Linked DNA regions of Nothobranchius furzeri. The protein of the gene in region 1 interacts with the protein of each later gene in a pairwise test. Links are inferred from orthologs where the notes say so. Each region holds a gene or a part of one and is shown in the gene's direction. Other genes may lie near its edges.

Evidence for each region.
Region 2: the proteins of exosc5 (region 1) and tnfaip1 interact in binary tests that used the Homo sapiens proteins (3 or more experiments, as listed by UniProt). The two-hybrid records come from large-scale screens. The link is inferred for Nothobranchius furzeri from reciprocal best matches to the Homo sapiens genes EXOSC5 and TNFAIP1.
Region 3: the proteins of exosc5 (region 1) and fcho1 interact in binary tests that used the Homo sapiens proteins (3 or more experiments, as listed by UniProt). The two-hybrid records come from large-scale screens. The link is inferred for Nothobranchius furzeri from reciprocal best matches to the Homo sapiens genes EXOSC5 and FCHO1.
Region 4: the proteins of exosc5 (region 1) and tfip11 interact in binary tests that used the Homo sapiens proteins (3 or more experiments, as listed by UniProt). The link is inferred for Nothobranchius furzeri from reciprocal best matches to the Homo sapiens genes EXOSC5 and TFIP11.

The regions. Positions count from the first base shown.
Region 1 is NC_091753.1:58,573,192-58,581,678, forward strand, and holds the start of exosc5 (exosome complex component RRP46), read left to right. Parts: upstream 1-3,844; 5' UTR 3,845-3,904; coding exon 3,905-4,004; intron 4,005-4,604; exon of another isoform or gene 4,605-4,704; coding exon of another isoform or gene 4,705-4,723; intron 4,724-5,162; coding exon 5,163-5,276; intron 5,277-8,487. UniProt on the Homo sapiens protein: Non-catalytic component of the RNA exosome complex which has 3'->5' exoribonuclease activity and participates in a multitude of cellular RNA processing and degradation events.
Region 2 is NC_091753.1:22,426,404-22,433,922, forward strand, and holds part of tnfaip1 (BTB/POZ domain-containing adapter for CUL3-mediated RhoA degradation protein 2), read left to right. Parts: intron 1-2,059; 5' UTR 2,060-2,168; coding exon 2,169-2,415; intron 2,416-2,545; coding exon 2,546-2,715; intron 2,716-6,347; coding exon 6,348-6,431; intron 6,432-7,006; coding exon 7,007-7,059; intron 7,060-7,152; coding exon 7,153-7,348; intron 7,349-7,436; coding exon 7,437-7,519. UniProt on the Homo sapiens protein: Substrate-specific adapter of a BCR (BTB-CUL3-RBX1) E3 ubiquitin-protein ligase complex involved in regulation of cytoskeleton structure.
Region 3 is NC_091748.1:67,266,938-67,274,728, reverse strand, and holds part of fcho1 (f-BAR domain only protein 1), read left to right. Parts: intron 1-136; coding exon 137-241; intron 242-3,656; coding exon 3,657-3,755; intron 3,756-3,893; coding exon 3,894-3,990; intron 3,991-4,083; coding exon 4,084-4,201; intron 4,202-5,165; coding exon 5,166-5,190; intron 5,191-6,029; coding exon 6,030-6,090; intron 6,091-7,791. UniProt on the Homo sapiens protein: Functions in an early step of clathrin-mediated endocytosis. Has both a membrane binding/bending activity and the ability to recruit proteins essential to the formation of functional clathrin-coated pits.
Region 4 is NC_091757.1:45,000,280-45,004,455, reverse strand, and holds the start of tfip11 (tuftelin-interacting protein 11), read left to right. Parts: upstream 1-1,376; 5' UTR 1,377-1,486; exon of another isoform or gene 1,487-1,504; intron 1,505-1,924; 5' UTR 1,925-1,926; coding exon 1,927-2,132; intron 2,133-2,221; coding exon 2,222-2,387; intron 2,388-2,477; coding exon 2,478-2,634; intron 2,635-2,742; coding exon 2,743-2,870; intron 2,871-2,986; coding exon 2,987-3,148; intron 3,149-3,307; coding exon 3,308-3,499; intron 3,500-3,638; coding exon 3,639-3,818; intron 3,819-3,928; coding exon 3,929-4,063; intron 4,064-4,149; coding exon 4,150-4,176. Other genes in the region: srrd (SRR1-like protein), read right to left, coding at 170-268, 356-537, 604-644, 875-1,086. UniProt on the Homo sapiens protein: Involved in pre-mRNA splicing, specifically in spliceosome disassembly during late-stage splicing events. Intron turnover seems to proceed through reactions in two lariat-intron associated complexes termed Intron Large (IL) and Intron Small (IS).

The DNA.
Region 1 (8,487 bases):
ACAGCGCCTAGAATGAACGAGGCGAATTCCCGCGGAGAGTAAAATGGTTTACAGTTTGTGACAAGATATTCCAGAGATGGAGAGCAATGCTGCGCGATCACTGTGACATCTGTGCACCAACTCTTATTGATGTAAAAACGCACACCTCCACCTGCGGTCTTGCCGGAGAGAGTCGCTTCCCGATCTGCGCGGATGAGGTGAAACCCATCCAGCTGGAGCGCACAGATGAGGAGAAGTCTCTGTTTATGTTCCTCATCAGGGTCAGCTCGTCCATTTTGTTGCGGAGTGAGCGCACATTAGAGAGGAAGGTCCCAGGTAGAGCCGTGCGCAGTCCCCGTCTCCTCAGACGCACGAGCGCGCCCGCTCGTTTACCTCTCCTCCTGCGTCTCACTTTCCTGATCAAAGTTGATATTGAATCGGCCCCGGATGCAACAAAAAACCAGGTTAAGTCCACCGGAATCATAGTGTTGTAACTTATGAGTTCTTCTCTTGAGTAGGAGAACCCAGATACGCAATTTACACACAAAAACAGAACAATAACAGCGCACCAAAGTACCAAGGCAGCCGTCTGCGGCGCCATCTTTGAAAAAGCAGAGAAGAAGAGGTGCTGTCGGACATGGCGAATGTTTGGGGATGGGAGAAAACAGCTGCTTGAGCCTCCAGAGCGCATCTGCTGCTGCAGGAGTGCCTCTCTCAGTTGATGTCGCAGTTGGAGGGCCGTCCTCAACAAAGTTCATATCAGTTTCTGAGCCCAAAGTGTCGTGCTGCAGCAGACTGGGAAGGGTGATGGCGGCCTTCGACATGAAAGAGGTCATGGCATTGCCCATGTGCCAAACCCAGACAGTTGTGCTTGCACAAAAGTGTGGCTAAATGTTCAGGACCAAAGAGGGTGCCGCTGACGGTGGTGATGCTGCTGAGACAAAGGAGGAACTGCAGGATGAGGCAGTACCAGTCGGAGGACAACAGTGATCTCATGAGAATGGTAAGATACATCATGAAAAACAGCTCTACCGGAAAATCTCCCCCAGGATTTGGTCACTGGCTCCCAAACATTAGAGGACATTTCAAAGGAATTGATTCCCAAAGAAGCCGTATGTGCGGAGTGTGGAGGCCAGCTGCAGCGGGGAGGGGATGACTGTGGGGCAGACACGATGATGGTCAGTGGTCTTACAGTTTAAATGCCATTTGTGGATGTACCGTTGGAGTTTGAATGCCCTCTATGAGACCCTGGACATGCCTTTTGATTTAGCTCCAGTGAGTTTTTATCGTTATTTTAAAAAATGCACTGCGAGACCAATTTAAATTTAAATAAAGAACTTTTCAATTTGTATATATTATTAGTCAGACATGCCCGTAATCAGGAGTTGGTGGTGCCATGGATGTAATTTTCACTTTAGAAGTGGGGGGGGACACGGGGTGGGGATCTTTACAGTATGTTCTAATGGGAAACAGGCTTCAACACAAATGGTTGTTTTCTGCTTGGTCCTAGTAGCCTGGCAAGCCAGACTAAATAAATTTATTATTTAGTCTGGCCACGCTCCATTGACGGCTCTCGGTTGTGGGGCGGGTTCTACGGTTGTCTTTCAAATGATCTCCGCATGCTACTGGACAATGAATGTGACATACTCTTGTTTCACTCTGTTGCATCATCCCACCCACCAGGCATATAGAGTGCCCTGATTGGCCCACAAAGCGGATAAAGCTCTGTGATTTGTTCACTAAGCAGATAGAGCACTATGATTGGCCCACCATTATGGACCAATCACAGCTCTTTATGTGTTTGAAACCCCTCTAGAGAGCTGTGATTGGCTAGCCAGAGTCCTGGTAGGAGCTGTGGAGGTTCCAATGGAGCATGCCTAGACCAAACTTTGCAAAGCAAGAATTTGGTCTAGTTCACTAGGCTATGGTCCTAGAGCTCAACCAGTGTCAATTTAATATAGCGTAATGTTGTTTTTGGATGGTAAAAAGTGCAGGGGTCAAAGCTTGACTTTGTGGGGGGGGGGGGGGGGGGGTCATGTCCCCCCCTGTACCCCCCCCCCCCCCCCCAAATTACATCCATGGGTGGTGCCAACAATTACTGAAGACATTTCCTCTGGCTGGGTATGAATACTTTGCAGGAAATTTCCAGGATGTGAGTTGCCAGTACATGGGGAGTTTGTAATATTTCATGGGGAAAATCTTTTCTTCAAAGTCAATTCAGCCCAACAGAGCCAGACACTATGGAGGTCACCCAATGAAAAGAAGTACAGGTATGTAGCATCTAGTGAATGTTTATTGGTTGTTTGTGTATTTGTATTCAACGACGAGAGCATGACTCATTTCCTTGTTATTGGAATTCATTATCATTTTGCATATGGGACGTGTCTGTGATGAGTGGCATCATGGTGGCCTGGAGCTGGGTGAAGGAAAACCAACAACACTTTGTTACATAGGTCATCCCACCAGACATCTTCAGTGTGGATGAAGACGACGCAGCAATGGCCGTCTGTTCGTGACTACACACGATATGGATGAGGATGAAACCCGGTCTCCCTTCATTTTCACCTTCTCAGAGATGATATGGAGTTTTCATGCATGACATAAGAGACAAAAGAGATATCCGTGTGTCTTGCATGTGCAACACAGATTAGTACCTGGTGTTTTGCTGTTTGGTTTAGTTTACCAATCTATGTCATCAATTACATGTAAAATAAAATCATCAGCATTGATGTTTGTCTTAAAATCTCAGTCAACGTCAGTTATCGTCACTAGGGCTATGGGGGAGCTGGATTATGTCTCAGACTTAGAAAGGCAGGCTACACACACACATCTATATAAATATATATATATATATATTTGTTTATATCTATATGTGTGTGTGTGTGTATGAATAAATATATATTTATTTATTTATATCTGTGTGTGTATAAATATATATAATTATACTTCTATGTAGTTAGTATTTAGGATTTATTATATTTAACACATGATACATATAAAGTAAGTGAAATTTATATACCACTCATCACAGACAAAATCACAAAGTGCTTCACACAGATCAAAACTAAGTAATAACATCACAATGATCTTTATCAGACTTACATTAAAAACAAAATAGTAAAGTCATAAAATATGAAACAAGTTAATCCTCTGCCTTTGTGGTTCTGCAGCGAGCTCCACTTGGGTGCTGTGGGTCCTCCAAAGCACCCAGTCAACTATGATAATACTAGATTATACAGCCTACTTAGGCCCAGAAGGTCTGAAACAGGTTTTCATAGCACAGCAAACATATTCTGTGAAACATTTATGCTTTCAAGTATGTATTTAAAATATTTAAACCAATTACCAAAAACAAAATAAATAAAAAATAGAAAAACGAAGAAGCATTTTTTGCTATTGAAAATTTTACCTAAATTGTAAACATAAAGCAACAAAAACGGGTGTCCACTTGCGGAGCACCTGTCAGTTTTCTCAGAAGATCAAAATTTGAAGGCAAATAGAAGTAAAATGAATAAAGTAGTTGCTTTAACAAAAAACTACAACTTGCTTCACAAAGACAGCATCAAGTTAAACACGAAACCAGTAATGACGAACACAGCTTCTGGTTATTCACGCAGCATTCTAAAATGGTGTTTACAAATGAAAGAATGGGGTTTTGTCGCCCCCTAGTGGTTAACTGACAACTCGATGGATAGCGCTTTCCGTTTTGTACTTTCAAAATAAATAATGACTAAATAAACGATCAGAAGCATATATAAAAAAGATTATTGTTGAAAAATGTTACTTATGATCATAAAAAATTAAAACGCAAGACACCTATGTAATACGTTTTTGTAAGAAGTGTCAAATCGATGTCTCCGGTTTAACTTTGAAAGAACCGATGACGTAATTCCCCTGCGACAAACATATTCTCGAAGAAGGCGGCATGATGGAGGTTTCTGCTTCTAATAATGTTTCTCTCAGAGAGTTCGGCTGTGAACAGAATCTGCTGTCCAGACCGGACGGCTCGGCGTCGTTCGTCCAGGGTAACAATCATCATTTATGTCCGTGATTTGGTCTTTTATTCAGACTCAAACAGGCTGCGCGAGTCGCAGAGGAGCGCTGTTCGCCGAAAAGCATCTTAAAAGCAGAAGAAAGGAAGTGAATGTGTAAATATGAGGTTTGGTGTCGCGTGTTTAAACGCGTTTCCCTCGACTTAAACCCGTGGCCTTTACACCTTTGGTTGAAGTTTTCCTTTTTATGTTTGAAAATTGTCACAAAGCTTCTTTTTTTACGTTGAAAATAAATCAACCAGTGTTGTTCAGGCGTTTCACAGATTGGTGTTTTGTTTACCTTCTAGGTGTTTCTTACTTCACTCAGTTCAGTTCAAAAATACTTTATTAATCCCAGAGGGAAACTGATTGCTGTAGTAGCTCAGAATAATAATAATAATCAAGTCATCAAAGAGGTGTTGTATATTACAACGGCTGTTGGCAGGAAGGATCTCCAGTAGCGGTCAGTGTTGCAGCCAAACTGAAGAAGCCTCTGACTGAAGACACTCTTCCGTTGTCGGACAGTCTTGTGAAGAGAATGCTCAGGGTTGTCCATCATTTTCTTGATTCTCTGGAGAATCCTTCTTTGCTTTATCTCCTCCAGCGGTTCCGAAAATGCCGAAACTCTGGCTGAGTCCTCGAAAGGGCTTGGAGTTCCTCCATCTTGTTGGCCAGTGATCTCACATCGCCCATTATGATCGATGGAAGAGATGGTTTGAATTTCCTCTTTCTCCGTCTCCGTCCCGCTCCCGCTCTGCACCCACGCTTCTTTTGTTTTAGCTCATTTGGGATTTGTGGCTTCAGTCGAGGTGTTATTTCAGCCTTTCCAATGTTAATCAGCTGCTCCCGATTGTAAACCAGCTTGTTGCCATGGTTACACATCATAACAAATGCTAAAAAAGTGAAAAAATTGCAGAAAAAATCCTCCAATCTTCACAGCACCAGAAACAGAAAAGTAAAATGTCAAAAAATACAGTTTTTCTTGAGAAACTAGAAGAAAAAATGTCCAAAAAAGGCAAAACTTCCATATAGTCAACAGAGCTACTCCAACATGCAGCCACCCAGAGCAGCGCAGTTCTGGAATGAAATGAATGCTTCTGTAAAATTAGAAATATACTAATAACCGTTTACCTTGTTTGTTTGTTTTCAAAGGGGATACGAGTGTGATGGCCGGCGTTTACGGGCCTGCTGAGGTCAAAGTCAGTAAAGAAATCTATGATCGGGCCACTCTGGAGGTGTTGCTTCAGCCTAAAGTGGGACCAGCAGGTAGTTTATTTTCCAGAATGGAAAACAAATGAATTATTGTCATTTTTGTTTTGTTTTCTTAAACCAAACACTTTTAAATATTAGATATGAGCCAAAATGTCAACAGGAACAGGTGTGTCACCAAACAAAAGGTGAACGCCGGGTTTCAGACACATTTTGGGCTGTTGCTGTTTGCAGAATCCTCACATCAAATACAACACCAAGTCATTTTATCAAAGCAGAAACGTGATGTACTCAGTCGTTTCCTTTTATGAGGGTTTTTACAAAAAAAAACTGGTGTCATCTCCTGTTTCATCTAAAACATAAACGTAATAAATCCCACTCCTAACAGGTACATTTTGCTCTACACTTGATGACCTTCGTGCACTTTTACCTTTAAAACTTTTGCAGCTATTGAATATTTTTGTAATCGAGTACTCTATCGAATCTTTTATCGATTAATCGAGTACTCTAATAAATTACCCTTTTGTGTTTATAAACTATTATTATTATTATAAACAAGATTTTCCCCTCGTGTGTGGATCTACCAGCCTGCAAGCCAGACAAAAACTAGGAGGATAACTGTTGAAGTAGCACAGCGAGCGGCTGCGGCCCAAACGGCACCAGAACCGCTCACGGCGCATGCACAAACATGGCTCGCCAGCTGTTTCCCTATGAACACACGTCCGTTTTAATTTCTACACTTTTTGTCTAACACTAACGAGGATTGTCGAGAAAGCATGTTTGCCGTGGTTTTGTCAAATTATACTGATCACAAAACATTTATTTACTTTCTTTTGTTTTCCTCATAAACACCCGTGTCCTCCTGCAGCGACCCCGAGGGACAACAGACGTCAATAACAACACAATAAAAAGTCTGACGTGTAAAAACTGCTATTTTTAGCACATTTTTAGATCCGACGTGTTGCTACCAGACGACAGTGTGAGCTGAAACTGAGCGCTACAAACGAAAAAGTCGCAAAGCGGACCTCCGAGTCCGCTTGCAGAAGTGACATTTACATATGGATGTTTCCTGGTCAGGTGCTGCAGCATGGAGGATGTGGTGTTGTGGTCGGCTACATCCATTTTACAGTATTTACTCTGGACTACGTTTCCCGCCTGACCACGTGAAAAATGCTCCCTCACCTTTGATATTTTGTGTCTTTTTCACACTCCACCGGGGTCCACGTCGTCCGCCATGGCTTAAGAGAAAGTTAGGTTACATTCGCTACTCGCGTGTGCGTTCAGTGCTGTGTGTATGTGCGTCACTTATTTCAGTCCGGGTGAAACGTGACCACGGGCGATTGCTAAGCCATGAATTAATTAAACATGAATTAAATGAAGTCTCGAGGCAGAGAGTTTGAGAATTGTACACGAATTATTCGAGGTACTCGAGGAATCGTTTCAGACCTAATCATGTGTGAAATCCATGGCACATAACAAGCAGAATTAGAAAATAGTGTCTTTAGCCCCGCTGACTTGCATTCATTGTTTTGTTCTTCTGGGGACCCGTGGTCCGGAAGTAGATGGGCGTGGCTTAGACTCCCTATGGAGCGCTGTCTGTCACCTATGATAGACTGTCACTATGGTAAAGCTATGGAATCTTGCGTTACCATAGTTACAGCTCAGGTGCATCATTTAAAATGCTTCATTATTAAGGCCAGAACTAGAGCTGCGGCTATCAAATATTTTTGTAATCGAGTACTCTAATAAATGACCCTTTTGTGTTTGTAAACCATTATATCAAATAGCATGTTATAAAATATGAAAGAGCTCCTAAAATTAGCACGCAATTGCCAGTTATTCTTCAAGTTTTATTCAAAATTAGTTTTCAAAACTTCAACTTTACTTCACAGTAAACAAACGCCTGTGCAAAAAATAAGTAAACAACCTGAGCCGGTTTTCTCCTCGTGTGGATCTACCAGCCTGCAAGCCAGACAAAAACTAGGAGGATAACTGTTGAAGTAGCACAGCGAGCGGCTGCGGCCCAAACAGAACCAGAACCGCTCACGGCGCATGCGCAAACATCTCGCCAGCTGTTTCCCTATGAACACACGTCCGTTTTAATTTCTGCACTTTTTGTCTAACACTAACGAGGATTGTCGAGAAAGCATGTTTGCCGTGGTTTTGTCAAATTATACTGATCACAAAACATTTATTTACTTTCTTTCGTTTTCCTCATAAACACCCGTGTCCTCCTGCAGCGACCCCGAGGGACAACAGAAGTCAATAACAACACAATGAAAAGTCTGACGTGTAAAAACTGCTATTTTTAGCACATTTTTAGATCCGACGTGTTGCTACCAGACGACAGTGTGAGCTGAAACTGAGCGCTACAAACGAAAAAGTCGCAAAGTGGACCTCCGAGACCGCTTGCAGAAGTGACATTTACATATGGATGTTTCCTGGTCAGGTGCTGCAGCATGGAGGATGTGGTGTTGTGGTGGGCTACATCCATTTTACAGTATTTACTCTGGACTACGTTTCCCGCCTGACCACGTGAAAAATGCTCCCTCACCTTTGATATTTTGTGTCTTTTTCACACTCCACCGGGGTCCACGTCGTCCGCCATGGCTTAAGAGAAAGTTAGGTTACATTCGCTTCTCGCGTGTGCGTTCAGTGCTGTGTGTATGTGCGTCACTTATTTCAGTCCGGGTGAAACGTGACCACGGGCGATTGCTAAGCCATGAATTAATTAAACATGAATTAAACGAAGCCTCGAGGCAGAGAGTTTGAGAATTGTACACGAATTTTTCGAGGTACTCGAGGAATCGTTTCAGACCTAGATGTAAGGAGAGTTGCCTAAAACATTTAGCACTTTTATAGCATTTTCCTCCTACCAGCTAACGGTAGAGTTTCTGCCCTGGGACTGGGCGATCAGGGGTCAAATCCACGGTCGGGTCGTACCAAAGACTTTAAAAATGTGACCCGATGCCTCCCTGCTTAACACTCAGCATTAAGAGGTTGTTTCGTGTGATTAAAGAGCAAGTCACCCCCTACCAGAGTCTTACTCCACTCCCACTTCCTGTTTGAACAATGCAACAAATGCTGTTGCCTAGCAGACCGAGAGGGTGGAGCCACTAACAAATACACACACACACAGGCTCACAACGACATTGTGACATCATATGGTACCAGCTAACGTTCTAGGGTACCTCTTAGCCAATAGCGATGGCAGATTTAAATTCAAATGCAGTGCAGAGTTTTTACCTGACAACGGCGCAACACTGAC
Region 2 (7,519 bases), about 36 Mb from region 1:
TGAAAAACTCCCTACTGGAGCCTCATAGGTGTTTTGGATCTGTTGGACTTCAGATAAACTGGTGCACCATCTATCTGAGACGGAAACAGGAAGTACACAGTACGATGTCCTCTGAAAATGACTACAACCGCATTACCAAATAATCTCTCAAAAATAAACATTAAACTTTGACGTATTCGTTTAAATAACAACTAAGGTATTTTATCAAGTGCTTTTAACTGAGAATGATACAAATAGTTATGAATCACAGGAGCTATTAGATGTTTAAAGTGTAACAGAAAGAGAATTTTAAAGTGTTTGGTTGTTTTATTAAACACTTTGTGTTCTTTAAGGTTCAAACACCTCCTGTAGACCATGTGAAAAGTCTAATAAGAAAATAAAAGAACAATAAAACTGAAAATAAGGAAGGCTGGAGCATTCAGGTGAGTAAAGGTTTATTAGGTGTGAGTAGGGATCCACAATATATCACAAATAAGTCGTTATCGCAATATCAGCATGCGCAATATGCATATCGCAAAGAACAGGTAAATACAGCAATGAATGGTCAGCTCAGATGTTTGCTACACATAATGCATTCTGTCAATCAAGCAGAAGCATTATGTTTTTTAAACAAATCAAATAGAGCTCTTTGGCATATTGGGTGGGTTCTCATAGGTTAGATGTCCGCCCCTGAGGCAGACGGCACTTAATTTTGATGGTTAGCAAACACCTGAGTTAGCTTTGTTCTGCTCTTTCTGCTTTTCCCGGGATCCACTGATTGCCTTTTATTGTTCATTTTATTTTTCCCTTTCCTCACATCTTTTGCTTTTCTCATTTTTATGATTTCTTTTTGTAATTTATTAATTTTGATTATTTTTGTTGCTGAGTTGAGTTTTTAATTATCGCAAGTCATATCGTCATTGCAATATTAGTCACTGTTATCGCATATCTCAGGTTTTCCTAATATCCTAGGTGTGAGTTAAAAGGACTAACGTTTCAACACTATGTGTCTTCGTCAGAGTTATGACATTGGTTACTCTGACGAAGACACATAGTGTCAAAACGTCCTTTTTACTTGCACCCAATAAACCTTTACTCACCTTGAGTCGTCCAGCCTTCCAGCTTTTCATTCAGTGTTCACCGGCTGTGGAGCACCGACCTGTGAGGGGTTGATACGCAGAGGGCTCCATTCCCTAACAATAATAAGACATTTTAGTGCTGTTTCTGATTTTTTAAAACACAATTTGGTGCAGAGTGAAAGATTGACCCATTATCTTCTTCAGTTAATCTAAGTGAAATTGAGGCATTCACTCAGAACTCAAACAACAGATTAGATCACCTCCACTTCGGTTATGTTCATGCACAGCCTCAAAAATCAGCTGTTAACATCATTCATGCAGAAATAAGTACACAGGAAGGAAACCGTTTCAGTGAGCTGAAACATGCAACACATTAGGATCACATGGTTCTTAAAGCCTCCACTGAGTTGTGACCGTCAGAACATGATCTGGTGTGTTTTATAGGTGGACAGGTAGAGACCCACTGGACCCACTTCCAGTAGGATCTGTCTTTCTTTCTTTCTTTCTTTCTTTCTTTCTTTCTTTCTTTCTTTCTTTCTTTCTTTCTTTATTCTTTCTTTATTCATTCATTCATTCAGACATTTAACCTTCTTTTAGATTGAATTGACTATTTGCTGTGAGCCAGAGAAACTGTGCCTCTTCCACAAATTTCTTCTTAGAGGCTGTAGCCAACCTTTGCAGTCAGACTTGTCTGAGAAGGACCTGCAGCTTTCTGAGTGTCTTTTGCAGCTCCGTGTGGTGATTTCATCTTCACTTGATATTTAAAGAGCCTCCAGGAGCTCTGTGCCCTCTCGGTGAGAACAGCCAGGTCGGTTAAAAACACTTATGTGTAGATCACTTTTAACACTTGAATGCTTTAGTCTTTGACGTGGTCTTATTTCCACATCAACTGTGGTGATTTCTGTGGCCCGTTTTCACCGGTCAATCAGTTTACACACCCGTTTATTCAACCTGACTTCCTCCGATGACTGTGGGTCTAACTCGCAGCACTGTTTTTCCAGGAATGATCTGGGGCTGTGAGAGGTCGAGGCAGCCTCTCCAGTAGCTGTCACCACGGCGGGGCACCTGCGTAGCTCCGTCTGCAGGGTTGTCATCTACCTCCAAAAGGACATGTCTGGGGACAGCTGTCTTCCCCACCATCATGTTCAGGATACCCCTGCACCCCCAGCCCCTCTCATGGCTTGTCCCAAGACCAAGACCTGCAGCTACCGAGGAGCCGTGGGTCTGGGCAACAAGTATGTCCATCTCAACGTTGGAGGAATGCTGTTTGACACCACGCTGCAAGTTCTGACCAAACAAAATTCCATGCTGAAAGCCATGTTCAGTGGAAAGAGAGAGGTTTTCACCGACAAAGACGGTTAGTTGGTGATCTGTCTCAGCACTATAATTTACTGTTGGGATTCATGTCTGGCTACTACCATCCTTTCATCTACTCTCAGCATGGATCAGGAAACAGTCTGTCATCATAGACTGTTGCTTCCTTGCAGGTTGGATCCTGATCGACCGTAGCGGGAAACACTTTGACAGCATCCTGTGTTTCCTACGAGATGGAACCGTTGGCCTACCCAAAGGTCGGCAGGCCGTGCAGGAGCTGATGGCTGAGGCCAAGTACTACCTAATCCAGGACCTCGTAGAGCTCTGTCAGAACGCCCTGCTGGTCAGTTACTATAAATCAATATGCCATTGTGTTGCATTCTGATTTATGAAGGTGTCTCTACAAGCAGGAAAACCGAGATCAGCCCACTGTAATCATGTTTTATTTAAATGTATATCCCGTTGGTCACTGGCAGCAATTTACATTAATGCAAAAATCTTTACTTTTATTATAACGGAAGTCATAATACTTAGTCCTGGCAGAAGAAATGGCTCTGGTGCTGATATTGACCTTGGCCCATTGACACCCTATGAAAAGAAAATGGTCAGTAATTTGGGGATTAAAATCGACTCATCACTTAATCTTGACACTCATGTAAATACAGTGGTGAGGTCCTGTTTCTTTAACCTGAAAAGACTATCCAGGATCAGGCCTCTGCTGTCCAGAGCTCATCTGGAGTCTGTGTTGCATCCCTTCGTCCTTTCCCGGCTGGACTACTGCAACGCTCTGTATGCTGGTCTGGCCCAGTGCACGGTTGCACGGCTCCAGTTTGTGCAGAACTCTGTGGCTAGGTTCCTGACAGGCATTAGATGTCGAGAGCACATTACCCCAGTGCTGGCTGCTCTGCACTGGCTCCCGGTAAAATATCGAGCTCAGTTTAAAATCTTAACTCTCGTTTATAAGGCCCTCCAGGGCAGTGCCCCCTCGTACATTACTGCGCTTTTGAACAGGTATGCTCCATCTCGGTCTCTTCGCTCAGCCGAGCAGGAACTTCTGGTGGTCCCCCGGCCGAAATTTCGATCGAGGGGTTGTCGTGCTTTTTCTATTTTGGCTCCAACTCTGTGGAATGAATTACTACTGAGCATTAGGCAGGCACCATTCCTTCAAGTCTTTAAGCCTCGTTTAAAGACTCATTTTTATCTGATTGCGTTTCAGCGCTAGGGTCACTTGAACTGCCCTAACATTATGGTTTTAACTATTCTTCTTTTTAACCCAGATGCTTGATTTTATTTTGTCCGACATTTGTTTTTTTATCGATTAGTCTTATTCCGATATCTCTTATCTGTAATAGTATTTGCTTGATATTTTTTGATTTTATGTTTTTATCCTGCTTTTATGCCCATGTACTGGGAATGTTTTTCTTTTAATGATGTTGTTCAGCACCTTGGGCTTCGGATAATGTTGTAGAAGGTGCTATACAAATAAAATTTGATTGATTGATTGATTGATTGATTCAAGAACTTCATCCAAATTTTATCCAGTTCAGAGGAAATCACAGTTAGTCTGTCACTGTTTTCTATACATTATGTTTCAATTAATTAATTAACTACACTTTTTCATTTGTGCAATCTGAGATCCTTTTATTTATTTTATTTTATCATTTGTTTATCCTTCCAACACGTTTAACTGCAAAGCCACTTTGTACAGATGTGCCACTTAAATAGACTTCCCCTAAACATGGTGACATCATCACTAGTAGCCACTAACCCAAACATGGTGACATCATCACTAGTAGCCACTAACCCAAACATGGTGGCATCATCACTAGTAGCCACTAACCCAAACATGGTGACATCATCACTAGTAGCCACTAACCCAAACATGGTGACATCATCACTAGTAGCCACTAACCCAAACATGGTGACATCATCACTAGTAGCCACTAACCCAAACATGGTGGCATCATTACTAGTAGCCACTAACCCAAACATGGTGACATCATCACAAGTAGCCACTAACCCAAACATGGTGACATCATCACTAGTAGCCACTAACCCAAACATGGTGATATCATCACTAGTAGCCACTAACCCAAACATGGTGATATCATCACTAGTAGCCACTAACCCAAACATGGTGATATCATCACTAGTAGCCACTAACCCAAACATGGTGATATCATCACTAGTAGCCACTAACCCAAACATGGTGATATCATCACTAGTAGCCACTAACCCAAACATGGTGGCATCATCACTAGTAGCCACTAACCCAAACATGGTGGCATCATTACTAGTAGCCACTAACCCAAACATGGTGATATCATCACTAGTAGCCACTAACCCAAACATGGTGATATCATCACTAGTAGCCACTAACCCAAACATGGTGACATCATCACTAGTAGCCACTAACCCAAACATGGTGATATCATCACTAGTAGCCACTAACCCAAACATGGTGATATCATCACTAGTAGCCACTAACCCAAACATGGTGGCATCATTACTAGTAGCCACTAACCCAAACATGGTGATATCATCACTAGTAGCCACTAACCCAAACATGGTGGCATCATTACTAGTAGCCACTAACCCAAACATGGTGATATCATCACTAGTAGCCACTAACCCAAACATGGTGGCATCATCACTAGTAGCCATTAACCCAAACATGGTGGCATCATCACTAGTAGCCACTAACCCAAACATGGTGACATCATCACTAGTAGCCACTAACCCAAACATGGTGACATCATCACTAGTAGCCACTAACCCAAACATGGTGGCATCATCACTAGTAGCCACTAACCCAAACATGGTGACATCATCACTAGTAGCCACTTACCCAAACATGGTGACATCATCACTAGTAGCCACTAACCCAAACATGGTGGCATCATCACTAGTAGCCACTAACCCAAACATGGTGGCATCATCACTAGTAGCCACTAACCCAAATATGGTGACTTCATCACTAGAAGCCACTAACCCAAACATGGTGACATCATCACTAGTAGCCACTAACCCAAACATGGTGACATCATCACTAGTAGCCACTAACCCAAACATGGTGACATCGGCTGTGTTCCAGATGAGCCAGTTCTGTGCAGATAGATCACTGGTAATCGGCGCGCAGTGCATGCTGGTTAGATTTGTGTCCGACTTAACGCCTACGTAGGCAACGATAACCTCATGAGTTCAAGGTGGCTGCAGATTTTGGAGCAAGGCGCTGCAGTTGCTCTCCACCGGCTGCAAAACCTAGAGGATGACGGGAAACGCCTGGCTCTCACCTGATCTAAGATCTGATTGGTTCACATTTTGATCCAAACATCCGGTGGTAGAACATGAAATGTTAGTTGGTCACATGTATTCTGTAAATCATGTTACGTTGATGATGACAACTATATAGGCCATAAAGAGGAATGCGTTTTGTGTTCTTTTCTCACGTTTCCTATGAGCACACTGAACATACAGCTGATGACCTTTACTTATTATTACAGTCATGATTTCATATACAATATATGATATCCACAAGCACGTGAGGATGTGTTTCAGTTGCTAACAGGCACCAGAATTAAAGTGTGAACGCTAACGCGATATCTTCAGACATCATCACCCGCAAGCTACATGTAGGGAAATCTGTCCGACTTAAATGCCGGCTTTCAGCCGCTCCCCCTGCTGCGTCCGTCTGCTCTCTGTTTTCCAGGCGAGGCGCTGCTCATCTCAAACATGGCCATCATCACTAGCCCACTAACCCAAACATGGTGACATCATCACCATGTTGAAATCTATTCATTATGCTTTTGTTCAGTAAATCAGAATCCGCCCTGAAAACCAGGAAGCTCTATATTGATGAAAATGTATCTAAACCTAATTAAGGACATTTATTTTGATTTGACTCCACTGTTTTTTCTCTCTCAACACATTTTGTGATGTCTGATTTCTAATCGATGTGCTACTTCTGTTCTGCAGGAGAAGAACGAGCAGCCTCTTTGTGTTATACCTGTGATCACTTCCTGTAGAGAAGAGGAGCTGCTCATCCAGACCTCCTCTAAAGTACACACACACACACACACATAACCTGAAGTATACTTTACAAAACCACATTTTAAATCTTTTGTAACTTATTGTCATTAATTAGTCTCTTTTTAAGGTGAATTGTGTGTGTGCTTGCTTGCCTTCATGCTAAAGAAATGCGTCAGTTTGATGTTTCTGTTATTTCTTGGTGTTTTAAAGGTGCATTGTGTAGAAATGAAGGGAAAGTGACATCCTGTGGTAAAATCTGGTTACTGCAGCCACTTTAAACAACTCTGGAGCTTTTTGCCGGCCGTCGTCAAATTATGACAAATTGTCAACGCTGCAGTATTAGCTGGCAGGAGACACGACACCCCCACACTCACTGAAGTAAACGGTAGTTACGCCCCCTCCTTCCTTTGTTTTGAAAGGAGGAAACCTGACAACCCAGCAACCAGCTGGATATGAAATATGTTTCAGTATAACCTTCCTTCCAAAATGACTGAAACATTAGACTCTTTGGGGATTTTCTCATTGTAAAATTCTCACTATATTACATAGTGCACCTTTAAATGAGTAAAATCTAGATAAGTGATGAGTGTTTTCTTGTCTGTTAGCCTGTAGTGAAGCTGGTGTACAACAGAAGCAATAACAAGTACTCCTACACCAGGTGACACGGCCTCTTCCTGACATTTAAGCAGTCGTAGTTCACGATGCTCCCTGAGACTCTCCCCTCCAGCTCACTTTGTTTTCCTCTCCACAGTAACTCTGATGACAACCTGCTGAAGAACATCGAGCTGTTCGACAGACTGACGCTCAGCTTCAACAGCCGTGTCCTCTTCATCAAAGACGTGATCGGAGATGAAATCTGCTGCTGGTCCTTCTACGGTCAGGGCCGCAAGCTGACCGAGGTGTGCTGCACCTCCATCGTCTACGCCACAGAGAAAAAACAGACTAAGGTAGTAGATCAGACGAAATAAATGTTGCAGTAAAACAGATGGGTTTGTAACTGACCTGTTGTCGTGTTGCCAACGTTACCCGTCCCAGGTGGAGTTCCCTGAAGCTCGTATCTACGAGGAGACGCTGAACTCCTTGCTTTACGAGAAGATGCCGCTCCCTGATAACTCCCT
Region 3 (7,791 bases), on another chromosome or scaffold:
TCACACAGCAGAAAAGAATGTTTTATTTACATGCTTTTAATTCAACAGCCTGACTAACTGAAGCCAGCATTAGTTCCTACTGAAATATGGTTTATTGTCTTGTTCATTAGCATCATTTTCCTTTTCTCCTCACTAGGCGGAGCTGAAGTCTAAGAAAGCGGCAGAGTCGTTTGCGTTGAGCATCGAGAAATACAACCGTGTGGGAGGAGAGTTTGAGCAGAAGATGAGTGAATCTGCCCAGGTCAGCTGTGACTCCAGCCATTGATCTCCCACCCCTTTCTTCCTTATCAAATCCACCCCCACCACAAGAGAGCCCCTTCTTATCCCTTCTTTTGTTGTCTAACATCACGTCATTCCTAAAAAGGAAACCTCGACCCCTGACTTTAAAACACCCACCCGTCTCCTCACAAACGCTGCAACCTGCTCATTACCTTTAATCACTGCCTCCATGCTTCCATGGCTACGGCTGCTGTTTCCATGGGAATATTTAACAAATCCTAATGAGCGCCTCTGTGTTTTTACATTTGAACTGATAAATGGAATCCTTGTGACCAATTACCTATTGTAATGGTTCTGAAGGGGGAGGTCTGGTCTTAATTAGGAAGGAGCGCGTTACCTGGGGGAGTAAAGCGTTCTCCCAGGTACCACAGAAATAAGAGAGAGTAAAAGAACACATCCTGTTTTGGTTTTTAGTGACACGTTTTAATGAGGTCGGACGGTTAAACCAAAAGAAAAACTGACTTTTTTACTTTACCTTTTGTTGCAACCGTGGTTTATAACTACAGCCAGGGGCGGATTTAGGACTGAAGAAGATCCGGGGCTTAACACACACACGCACGCACGCGCTCGCGCACACACACATGACACGCACTAGTCAACATCATATATATTTGTCTTGTAACACATAATTTTTAATCTGAAGCTACATATTAAGCATTTTCAGGGCAGAGTATTGTTCCTGTTAGTGTTTAGTGTGAGATGATAGTACATATTCCCTTTCTTTCTCCAACAACTTTACCTGATAAGCTAACTTTAGGCAAACCAGCAGCACAACAAATATTTTCAAATAAGACTCAAACCTGAGTCAACACCAGTCTCATCAAAGCTGGGGTTCTGTCGTTGTACTTTGTGTCTAAAAAAACGTCCTTATGTCAATCTTCACTCATGCGTTTCAGGCAGAGAGTGTAGAAGAAGCCGGCTGCTGAAGGGCTTCTTCTTCAGTGGTGGAGGTTCAGGCAGGCTGTATACAAACTACTGCCAGCTGCTCCCTCTCTGTTGGACTTTGGTACTGCATGTTACTTCCGCGATTTAGATCCGGGGCTTTTCATGAAACATCCGGGGCTTCAGCCCAAGTAGCCGGGCCTAACGCCGCCCCTGACTACAGCCCTGCATAGACAGTCTGACCTACTTTAAAAATGTGTAGAAAAATGTTTTTAAACTATGTTTATGTGTTCATTAAAGGCTCAAAAATGTGTGTCACACACTTGTGAAGAATTATAATTACTGGTCATAAAATAAGGTTAATACACAATTTGGTGTTTGGGTGAGTTTTTAAGAAACAAACCAAATATAAATTATCAATGAATATATTTTTTATCATCTTTGAGTGAGTTAAGCTAATTTAGCTCATTTTATCTTCAACAAGGCATCTTTTCCCGCAGGTAACCAGACGCTTCTGAAATATTAGAGAAACCTCCAGTACCAAAACCCTGCCTCTGATCTACTGCAAACAGGAAAAAAAATCTACAAGCTTCTTTATTTTCTAAAGAGTTTTGTCGTAATGAGCTGAGAGTTTAGAGGAAATCCTGTTATGTCCCGGTTACCAAATGAGCTAGTCTGAAAACAAGCTGAAACCAGAGTTTCTTGTGTCAGATAAAATCAGTCTGAATTCATCTTTGAATCCTTACTGAAACTAAATGCGGTTTCCTCATCAAGACACGAGCAGATGAAAAAGAGGAACAGATAGAAACAGGTAGAAACAGACTAAATAACAGCGTGCCATGTTTGCTCCCAATAACCAGACTAAATAAAAGGAGAAGAGAAACTGATCTGAGAGCACGATTAAACTAATTCATGTAGACGAAAGCTGTGCTGGTCTTTTTCTCTCGGTGTCTGTTCACCAGGCTGCACTGAGGTGTTTGGGAAACCCCCACACACACTCGTACACCTCATAAAAATGTATAATAATTGGCTCAAAGAAACAAGAACATGCACACAAAGAAAAATCTACTCACAGGCTTATGTCCTCAGCAAAGCCTAGAATCACCTCATCAAGTCTGCCTAAAGCAGGCGGTGACAAATGATGCAACCAAATTAAAAGCTAAACTCCAGCAGTCCTCCTGATGACCCACTGCATCCCTGAAGCTTTTTTTATTATTATTTCTTCTAAATGGCGTCTTTGTTTAAGGATAATCTGAATATTCTAAATTCATCAATTGTCTATCCAACCATCCATCCATCCATCCATTTTTCTGCCGCTTATCCGGAGTCGAGTCGTTGGGGCAGCAGCCTAAGCTGAGACGCCCAGACTTCCCTCTCCCAGCTTCTTGGGCCAGCTCTACCAGGGGAATCCCAAGGCGTTCCCTGGCCAGCCAAGAGACATGGTCCCTCCAGCGTGTCCTGGGTCTTCCCTTGGATCTCCTCCCAATTAGACATGCCCTAAAAACCTCACCATAGAGGCATCCAGGAGGCATCCTGACCAGATGCCCGAGCCACCTCAACTGGCGCCTCTCGACGTGGAGGAGCAGCGGGACTACTCCATGCCCCTCCCGGATGACTGAGCTTCTCACCCTATCTCTAAGGGAGAGCCCAGACAACCTGTGGAGAAAATTCATTTTGGCCGCTTGTATTCGAGATCTTGTTCTTTTTGGTTACTACCCAAAGCTTGTGACCATAGGTGAGGGTGGGAACATAGATCGACCGGTAAATCGAGAGCTTTGCCTTCCGGCTCAGCTCTCTCTTAAGAAGAGAGAGCTTAAATTGTGAATAATTTAATAATTGGACATAATTTGCGCTGCACAGTGGTTAGAGCTGTTGCCTTGTAGCAAGAACGTCCTGGGTTCGCTTCCCAGCCTGGGATTTTTCTGCATGGAGTTTGCGTGTTCTCCCTGTGCATGCGTGGGTTCTCTCTGGGTACTCTGGCTTCTTCCCACAGTCCAAAAACATGACTGTTAGGTTGATTGGTCTGTCTAAATTGTCCTTAAGTGTGTGTGTGTGTTCATGATTGATTGTCCTGTGTGTCTCTGTGTTGCCCTGAGATGGACTGGCTCTCTGTCCAGGGTGTACCCCGCCTGATTGGCCATTGACCACTGGAGGTGGGCACCAGCCCCCCCCCCCCCCCCCCCCCCCCACCCACCCACCCCCACGACCCTGCTTGGACAAAGCGGGTTCAGAAAATGGATGGATGGACATAATTTGCTTTAAGCAGTTGCATTCATGCCATTTATAGTGTTTAAAGGTATCTAACTACACAAATGAAGTCTATAAAGGCTACACATTTTATTGTCTATAAAACATATTTGGGTAGATTTTCTATATGAAAATTTTCTGCTTTTTTCATGTTACTCTCCTGTGTGTGTGTGTGTGTGTGTGTGTGTGTGTGTGTGTGTGTGTGTGTGTGTGTGTGTGTGTGTGTGTGCGCGTGCGCGTGTGTGTAGAGGTTTCAGGAGATTGAGGAAGCTCATCTGCGTCAGATGAGACAGCTGATCAAAAGTTACTCTCACTCTATAGAGGACACCCATGTCCAGGTGGGACAGGTAGGTTGGAGCCGATCTGCTCTTATCATGGAGCACTTAAGGAAAGTTTTTTTTTTCTCAGTGACTTCAATATTTATTCTGGCAGTGAAAACTAAAAACTTTCTTATAAATTGTACTTTATTTAAAAATAAACTTCAGGTTCACGAGGAATTCAAACAGAATGTGGAAAACATCGGCATCGATATACTCATTCAGAAATTTGTTGAGCAGAAAGGCACGGGCAAAGACAAACCAGGTATACATACACACACACACACACACACACACACACACACACACACTCACACTCCAAACATCATTTAGATAATGTTTGTGTTGCTGTCTGCAGCTCTGGTTGGGTTTGAGGAGTACATGACAGCTCTGACTCCTGAGGGTGGGAAAAAGACTCGAGCTAAAACTTTCAGGATCCCTGGCCTCGGCAAGAGGGACAAGGAGCCAGACTCTACGTGAGTGTAGTACACACACACACACACACACACACCTAAAGCCCTCCGTGTTTACCTGGTTAAATCAGTATTTTAACCGAGTGGTTTATAGAAAGGAAATTGGAATAAATTCACTGAAGTTTTCGTTTTCTTGACTCATCATGATGAAATTCTAGATGTCAAAATCATGTCTGAACACTATATTTCAGTCAGAGTGAATATTGTTGAACAGCAAGGACATGATTGACAGCCTGTGCACCAGTTTAACTGAAGACTGAATAAAGCGATTCAACTTGTTAGAATCTGATGTAAATTCAGTAACTCTAGTGTTTAATTAACAACAGTTTTGTATGTTTGACACCTTGCAGTTGATGTCAAAAACAGCGTAACAAGAATGAGTCTGTAGGTTTGTAAAACAACAGGAACATTTAAGTGCAGGACGGATCATGTCTTCTTTATATGTGGTTGCAGTTTGGTGTCAAACAGCTGATTTCAGTTCAAACAAAGATAAAATATTCTCTTTCATTTATGTAAGGTATTTAATGAGATTTCTTGTTTATTTATTGATTTACATAACATAATTTCTAGTTTATTAACTATTAGGTTAATGCACTCCTTTGGAATTTCATTATGTAAAATCATAATGTGTGTATTTTGGCGGTGCAGGAATGTTTGAACTTCCTGCGATATTCCTGTCTTGATCCTACTGCTGTGTGACGAGATTTTTGTCAGAATGATTTTATATAATTTTTTTGCAACTTTTAATTCTCACAGTGTTGATTTTTGAGTCAAATTCACATTCAGCATCTGATAACAGCCTAGATCGATGGATGGAAAAAACAAACATTTGAATCACCATTTTAGGACTTTTGGTCATGTCTGATTTCAGTTTAAAGTTTTGCTCAATCAAAAAATAGAGCTTTGCTTTGAGCTGTTGTTGAAAAGTTTAATAAACTCCTGTGGTTTTTTTTTTCTGGGTTCGTAGGGACTCGGCTGTCATGGACACGTTGGTAAGTAATTGACGTAATTCACACTCATCTGCGTAAAGCTCGTTTGTCAATCTTTGCCCTAAATAGCAGACGGCTCGTTTGTGCGTGTGTGTATTCTGAAGGCGTAAAATCTGTAAAAACGGTGTGTTGTTGTGCGAGGTGGTGTTGGGAAGAGTCATGAGTGTGTGATGGGTTAGGGTCATGGATGGTGTGGGGTTTCCCATTTTTATTCCTGTACTTCCCAGAAGACATTTGGGAGGTTATCTTCCAAGCACATGGACAGCACATAGCCATGTGTGTATCTGTACATGCTTGTGTGTGTGTGTGTGTGTGTGTGTGTGTGTGTGTGTGTGTGTGTGTGTGTGTGTAAAAGGACTTAAACACTGCCAAACAGCCGTCTAACAGGCTAATGAGAAGTCAGAGCATAAAACAGAGCATCACAGAGCCACTGATGCCGAAATTTTATACTTTCACAAGTTTCATGTTTCTGAAAACACTCGACAGAGGCAACTGCTTAGCCGAGGGAGGGTTTTATAAAAAAAAAAAACATTTTCTACATGACGTATTCACTAATAAAAAACAAAATTTTCACCCAAACAATTGGGTTGACCTTTAATTCAGTTTCTGTCTTACATCTATTGACAAGGACAGTGGTTGTACTTGTAGGAATAACTAAACCCACACTTGTGTCATCAGTGTTGCATCGTCTGTAAGGTCGATTTACTCAATCAGCTACGCTTAGAGAACGCTCTGTTAGAGCTCTGAAAGATGGTGTGTTAATGCTTCTGGGTGTCAGAAATGCACCGTTTGTTTCTGCTGACTCGGCTGCTGTCTGCCTCCCTCTGCTCTGTTTACTACAGAATTCACCGCTGGAAATGGATGATGAGGGATTTGTCATCAGAGCTGACAGCACTCACAATGATATCCTTTTTCTGCTCCTGCTTGATGCATCTGGATATTTAGGGAAAAAAATAGCCAAACACTACTTAAAAGCATCCGTGTTTAAGTCATCCTCTCTTCTGCTGGATTATTCAAAGACTTTAGACTCATAAATATGTTATAATCTAGACTTGGGTTTCATTCACACTGCAGGCCCTGTTGCTCAATTCTGATTTTTTGAGTAAACCAGATTTTTTCGTGTGGCTGTTGACATTATGACTGAAGTGCGACATCAAGCTCTCTCCAGTGAGGGGCGGAGTTGTGATGTGAAGAGGTAAACTATTTTACTCCTTTTTCCCGCCGTCTTCTCGAATTATAATTCACCGAAAATGTTCCGAAATTACGTTCATTCATGGAGAAGCCCCTCCTGAAGTCCTTCTGTCAGCGCTTCTCCTCGAGAGCATCAACACACCTGCTCACCTCAGCTGACTCGGTGACATAGGACACGGTTTTAATTCGACATGATCACTGCAGTCACTTTCAAAGACATCAGATATGCACTGGAATCAGTACCACATACGAAAGTGACCTTGGTCAGATTTGAAAAAATGGGATCTGTGCTGTTCAGATATGGGTCACATGTGGGGAAATAAATCAGATTTCATGCACTTTTGCCTGCAGTTTGAAACTATCCTTAGTCGTGTGTTAAACTCCGTCTGCAACACATTTATTCTTGGGATTTTGATGAACAGACTCTAAATTCCTCCAAACAGTGTTTTAATGCATCAGGGGATTAGAGAGTTTTCTCCATTTTTCTGCACAATTTTCTACATTTGTGGTTTTTTTATGTGAAGAATTATAAAGCTCTAATTTGTGTTTTGGTAGGACACAAGTAATTCAGATTCAGATTCCTTTATTAATGACCACACAACAAGTTGGTGGAATTTGTAATCAGTACAGTATGGCATGCTCACATCTGTGTCTTCACACAACAACCAACATCCAATGGCGGGTACGCATAGATGTTTGATTTAACGACCATACAGGTTCTGGGGCTGCTTTGCTGCATCTGGGACAGGGTGTCTTTAATCTGTGCAGGGTACATGAAATCTCAAGACTATCAAGGGACTGTGGAGAGAAATGTGCTGGCCAGTGTCAGAAAGCTTGGTCTCAGTGGCAGGTCAAGTGTCTTGCAACAAGACAATGACCCAAAACATGCAGTGAAAAACACCCAGAAATGGCTAAGAGGAAAACACTGGACTATTCTAAAGTGGCCTTCTATGAGCCCTGACCTCAATCCTGTTGAGCATCTTTGGAAGGAGTTGGAACGTGCCTTCTGGAAAAGGCGCTCTTCAAACCTGAGACACCTGGAGCTGTTTTCTCATGAGGAGTGGGCCAAAATACCTGCTGCAGAAGTCTCTGACAGTTACAGAAATCGTCTGATTGCAGCGATTGCCTTAAAATGTTGTGTAACAACATATTAAGTTAGGGGTACTGTCATTTATGTCCAGGCCTGGTCTATAAGTTTATTTTTTCAGTAATTCCATTGAAGCGTGGTTGAAAATCAATGTCTGACTTTCACTGGTTAACATTCATAGAATTTTTATTTATTATTACTTTTGTCAGATTCAAGTTATTTCTCTGACCATTGTGGGTTTTTGTGTCGTTGACCGAAGGGCACCAACTATTTTGTCCACGTCTGTATTTCTAAATGTAGAAGATTTATAGTTCAAATTAAACTTT
Region 4 (4,176 bases), on another chromosome or scaffold:
AAATCAAACAGATAGCAAAATGAAATGGCTGGAGTTGTAACAGTTGTTTATTTGTAACAATGGTATTTATGGTAACATTATATCTGTATAATCTACTTCATAGTGTATACCTGAAAACAGTGTTTTACTGTTATTTATTTCAAAAATACTCAAGCTCTTGTCAACTGACCTCATTTTCTGTGAGTACAGTCAAACCCAGCTCTCTTAAGACATTCTTTTCAGCAAAGGAGAAGGCAGGATCATAAACATAGCAGTCCCGCAGTAAAATCTACATGGACAGGGGCAATAAAGCACATATTTTGCATCAGAGTTTCACAAGTATCATTTATAACACAGATGGAGTCGATCTTCTCACCTGTCTCGCATCCAGAAGAAGCAGCAACATGGCAAGTTGGTAGCGAGCGGCTACACATGAAGAAAAAGACCCAAGACCATAACAAACACACATCAGTGTTTCTTCTGGGGCTTTTTCCAGCTGATTTTCAGTGTCACTGTCCCCTGGAGGTTTTAGGGATGCTGCTGCTGCCTGGAAATTCTCTGAAGAGAAGATGATCCACTAAATAACTAAGCTTAACTCAACCTACATATCTACAACAAACTCACCATTCCAGTCTTTCCAAAAATCTTCGTACTTTAGTTCAAACCTAAGAAGGAAAGATATAAGCAAACCAATAACTTATGGGAAGATGTATGATTTCACCTATTATGCAAGATAAATATTGTTACTCATATATATATATATATATATATATATATATATATATATATATATATATATATGTATATATATATATATATATATATATATATATATATATATATATATATACATACATACATACATACATACATGTGTGTGTGCGTAACTTCTTACATGTTGTCTCTGATTCTTCTGATGAGTTTTCCAACATCCAGTTGCTCCTGATGGCATGATGGTGAGTTTAGAGGAACTTGATGAGATTTAAATTGCCTACATACACCTTTTCGACGCCGAGCTACCTGCCATTCATCGGATATGTACGACATTTGTGTGAATTGCCAGATGTAATTTACATAAGTACATACATTTCCAAACGTAAGTATCATAAAAACATGGAACTCAAAACCAAATTTAGCATTTTGAGAGCTGAAAGCTAAAAATGGAAACGCAGATGACCTATTCAAGTGCAACACATTGTTCTGTTTCCGGTGTGATTTCCGTCTAGTTAAAAGTCACGTAAATTCAACAGATTTGCTGTTGTTCGATTGTTTTTATTTTTAAAAAAAATATTGACCGCTTTATAAAAATGTATGTGTTGAATGGTTGGTTTTAATTAAGCTGCTTTTAAAATATTAATGAAATTATTTGTAGTGTACATTAATTGAAGTGACACGGCTAAACCGGAAGAACTTGCTTTTGACAAAAATATATCATTCGTCAACAGTTCGTGTCTCTGCAGTTCGTCTTATTACCACATAAGATATGTGTTTTTGATCTCAGACCAAGGTTGTAATTAATATTTTAGTAAGTTAACTTAAACGAAATCGTCGTTTTTTATCACTACTAACATGTTGTGTGTATTTACATTAATGCTACAGAACGTGCGTTATTGCTAGTAATTAGCCTTCGCTCCGTTTTCTTCTAAGCAGATTTGTATAGTTTTATAATCGATGTTTCACGTTTAGTCTTATTTGTGTATTCATCGTTATTGATTGTAAACCTTTTTGTCATTATTAATTTATCGTTAGTTAAACCACAAACGTTGACTTCATACCTGACTTAGTTATCGCATTTTATTTCCCTCTTCTTTGCCTTTAATAAACTAGATATGCATCTTTTTCCTGATTTTGAAGTCACAATGTTTCTTTCCTGGAAAATAAATGCACGTGTAATTTTAGGATTCGGTCACATTTCATTAAGATCTATATTGTTTATAACTTGCAGAGATGTCAATGTCCCACCTTTACGGGCGGAGGGAGGAGGAAGAGGAAGGTGTGGAGGTGGAGAGTTTTGAGATTACTGACTGGGATTTAGCCAATGAGTTCAACCCAGACCGTCGCAAATTCAGGCAGAGCAAGGAGCAGGCCACATATGGCATCTGGGCCGAGAAGGATTCTGATGAAGATGAAAGGCCCAGCTTTGGTGGCAAGAAGTATAAATGGCTTGCTTTTGACACAAATTCCAATTCTGAAACAATTTCTAACCAAATGTTCTAATAAAATATTTATGATTTCTTTTTAGATCCAAAGACTACACTGTACCTGTGAGCTTTGTGAGTGGTGGTTTGCGTAAGAGTGCTGCTGAAGAGAAAGAGCGGGAAAAAGAAGGCAGCTCTGACGACTCTGATGATGATACTTCTGCAAAACTCCCCCCTTCACGCGTGACTGCACCCAAAAAACTCCAGATGGTAATTTTTAAATGTGCGCACATTGTGATGTCCATTGTTTGTAGAAGAAAATAGTGAAAATAATGATGTTGGGAAAAAATGTTTTTCTAGGGTAATTTCTGTGGAAATCAGTCTAAGAGGTTTGCAGGTGGAATACAGTCTGGACAAGGAATTGGTAACTGGGAGAAACACACCAAAGGAATTGGACAGAAACTTCTGCAGAAGATGGGTTACCAGCCAGGGAAAGGCTTGGGGAAGAATGCTCAAGGTGTGTTTAGTTGACTTAGATTGTTCTTTTAAAAATGTTGTAAAATGTTTTGTTTTTTACATGGATGTGGTGGAATTGAAACACTTGTAATGTACTTTCTCTCTGTAGGTATCATAAACCCCATTGAGGCAAAGATCCGTAAGGGAAAAGGAGCGGTTGGTGCTTATGGCAATGAAAGAACCCAGCAGAGTCTTCAGGACTTTCCTGTAGTTGACTCAGAGGAAGAAGAGGAGAAGGTAAAGTACTGAGAAAAAAAATTGTCTTTACAATGTTGTTTTTATTTTTGTGTTTGATTTTATTGATCAAATGAGTCTATAGAGTCATTGTGGTAATTTTCTATATCTTTATATAGGAATTTCAGAAGGAACTTGGCCAGTGGCGTAAGGATCCAGCTGGGCCTGCAGGAAAAAAGAAGCCCAAGTACTCTTACAGAACAGCAGATGAGTTGAAGGCTAAAGGTAAAATAGTGAGTCGGAGCACATCTGCAACTGCAGGAGAGCTGGCACAGGTCAAGGTATGTTTATGTTTCACTTGTGTGCTGTTTGTTTTTTATGTTGGCATGGCTGCATAGGTGCAAAATTGAGGATTCAGTGTTTTATTAAGCATCAGTAATTTAAGTACATTTTGGCTACATTCATAGTACTTATTTATCCTGACATTTCCCTTGGTCTAGGTAATAGATATGACTGGAAGAGAGCAGAAGGTATACTACAGTTATAGTCAGATGTCTCACAAACACAGTGTTCCCGATGAAGCTCCACCAAGCTTGGCTTCACAGGATCAAAAGGTATCTGGCTTTGCTCTCCCCGAACTTGAGCATAATCTGCAGCTTCTGATAGACCTGACAGAACAAAACATATTACAGGTAAGAGGAAACCAAGAATTATTTACAACATATTTAGCTACAAGAATAGGATATTAATAAGTCAGCAACCTGAGAAAAATGTGAAGAACTTGTAATCTCTACTAAAGCGTTCTTTCTTTTTTTTGTGCATCTTTTGTAGTCTGCCAGACGTTTGCAGCATGAAAAAGACGTGGTTGTTTCTCTGAGCCATGAGTCAAAAGCTTTGCAGAGCAGACTGGAGTCAGAGCAAGAATCCATCCGAAGAATGGAAGCTGTCTTAGCATTAGTGGAGCGTTTTCCTTCTGAAGAGACGGCACCGGGAGAGGGCCCGACCCTACAGGTTTGTGTTACAAACACTGACTGGAGCCGGTCTGCAAGCTGTTCAAATTAAGGAGTTCCAGCTTTATATTTCATAATTGTGAAGCTGATTTGTAGTGCTTGTCTCTTCAGGAGTGTGCCCAGATCTTTGAGACATTACAAACCGATTATTATGAGGAATACAAGATGATGGGATTGGCAGATTTGGCTGTGGCTGTCATTCATCCATTGCTTAAAGAGAAACTCTCCTCCTGGGACCCTGTGAAGGTAGTCTTTTACAGTTAGAGGAAACCACATTTTTAGTAAATGATTAATATCCAAGCTAATTCTTGAACGCTTTCTGATCTTTTCAGGACAGTTCTTATTGTCTGGAGGATATC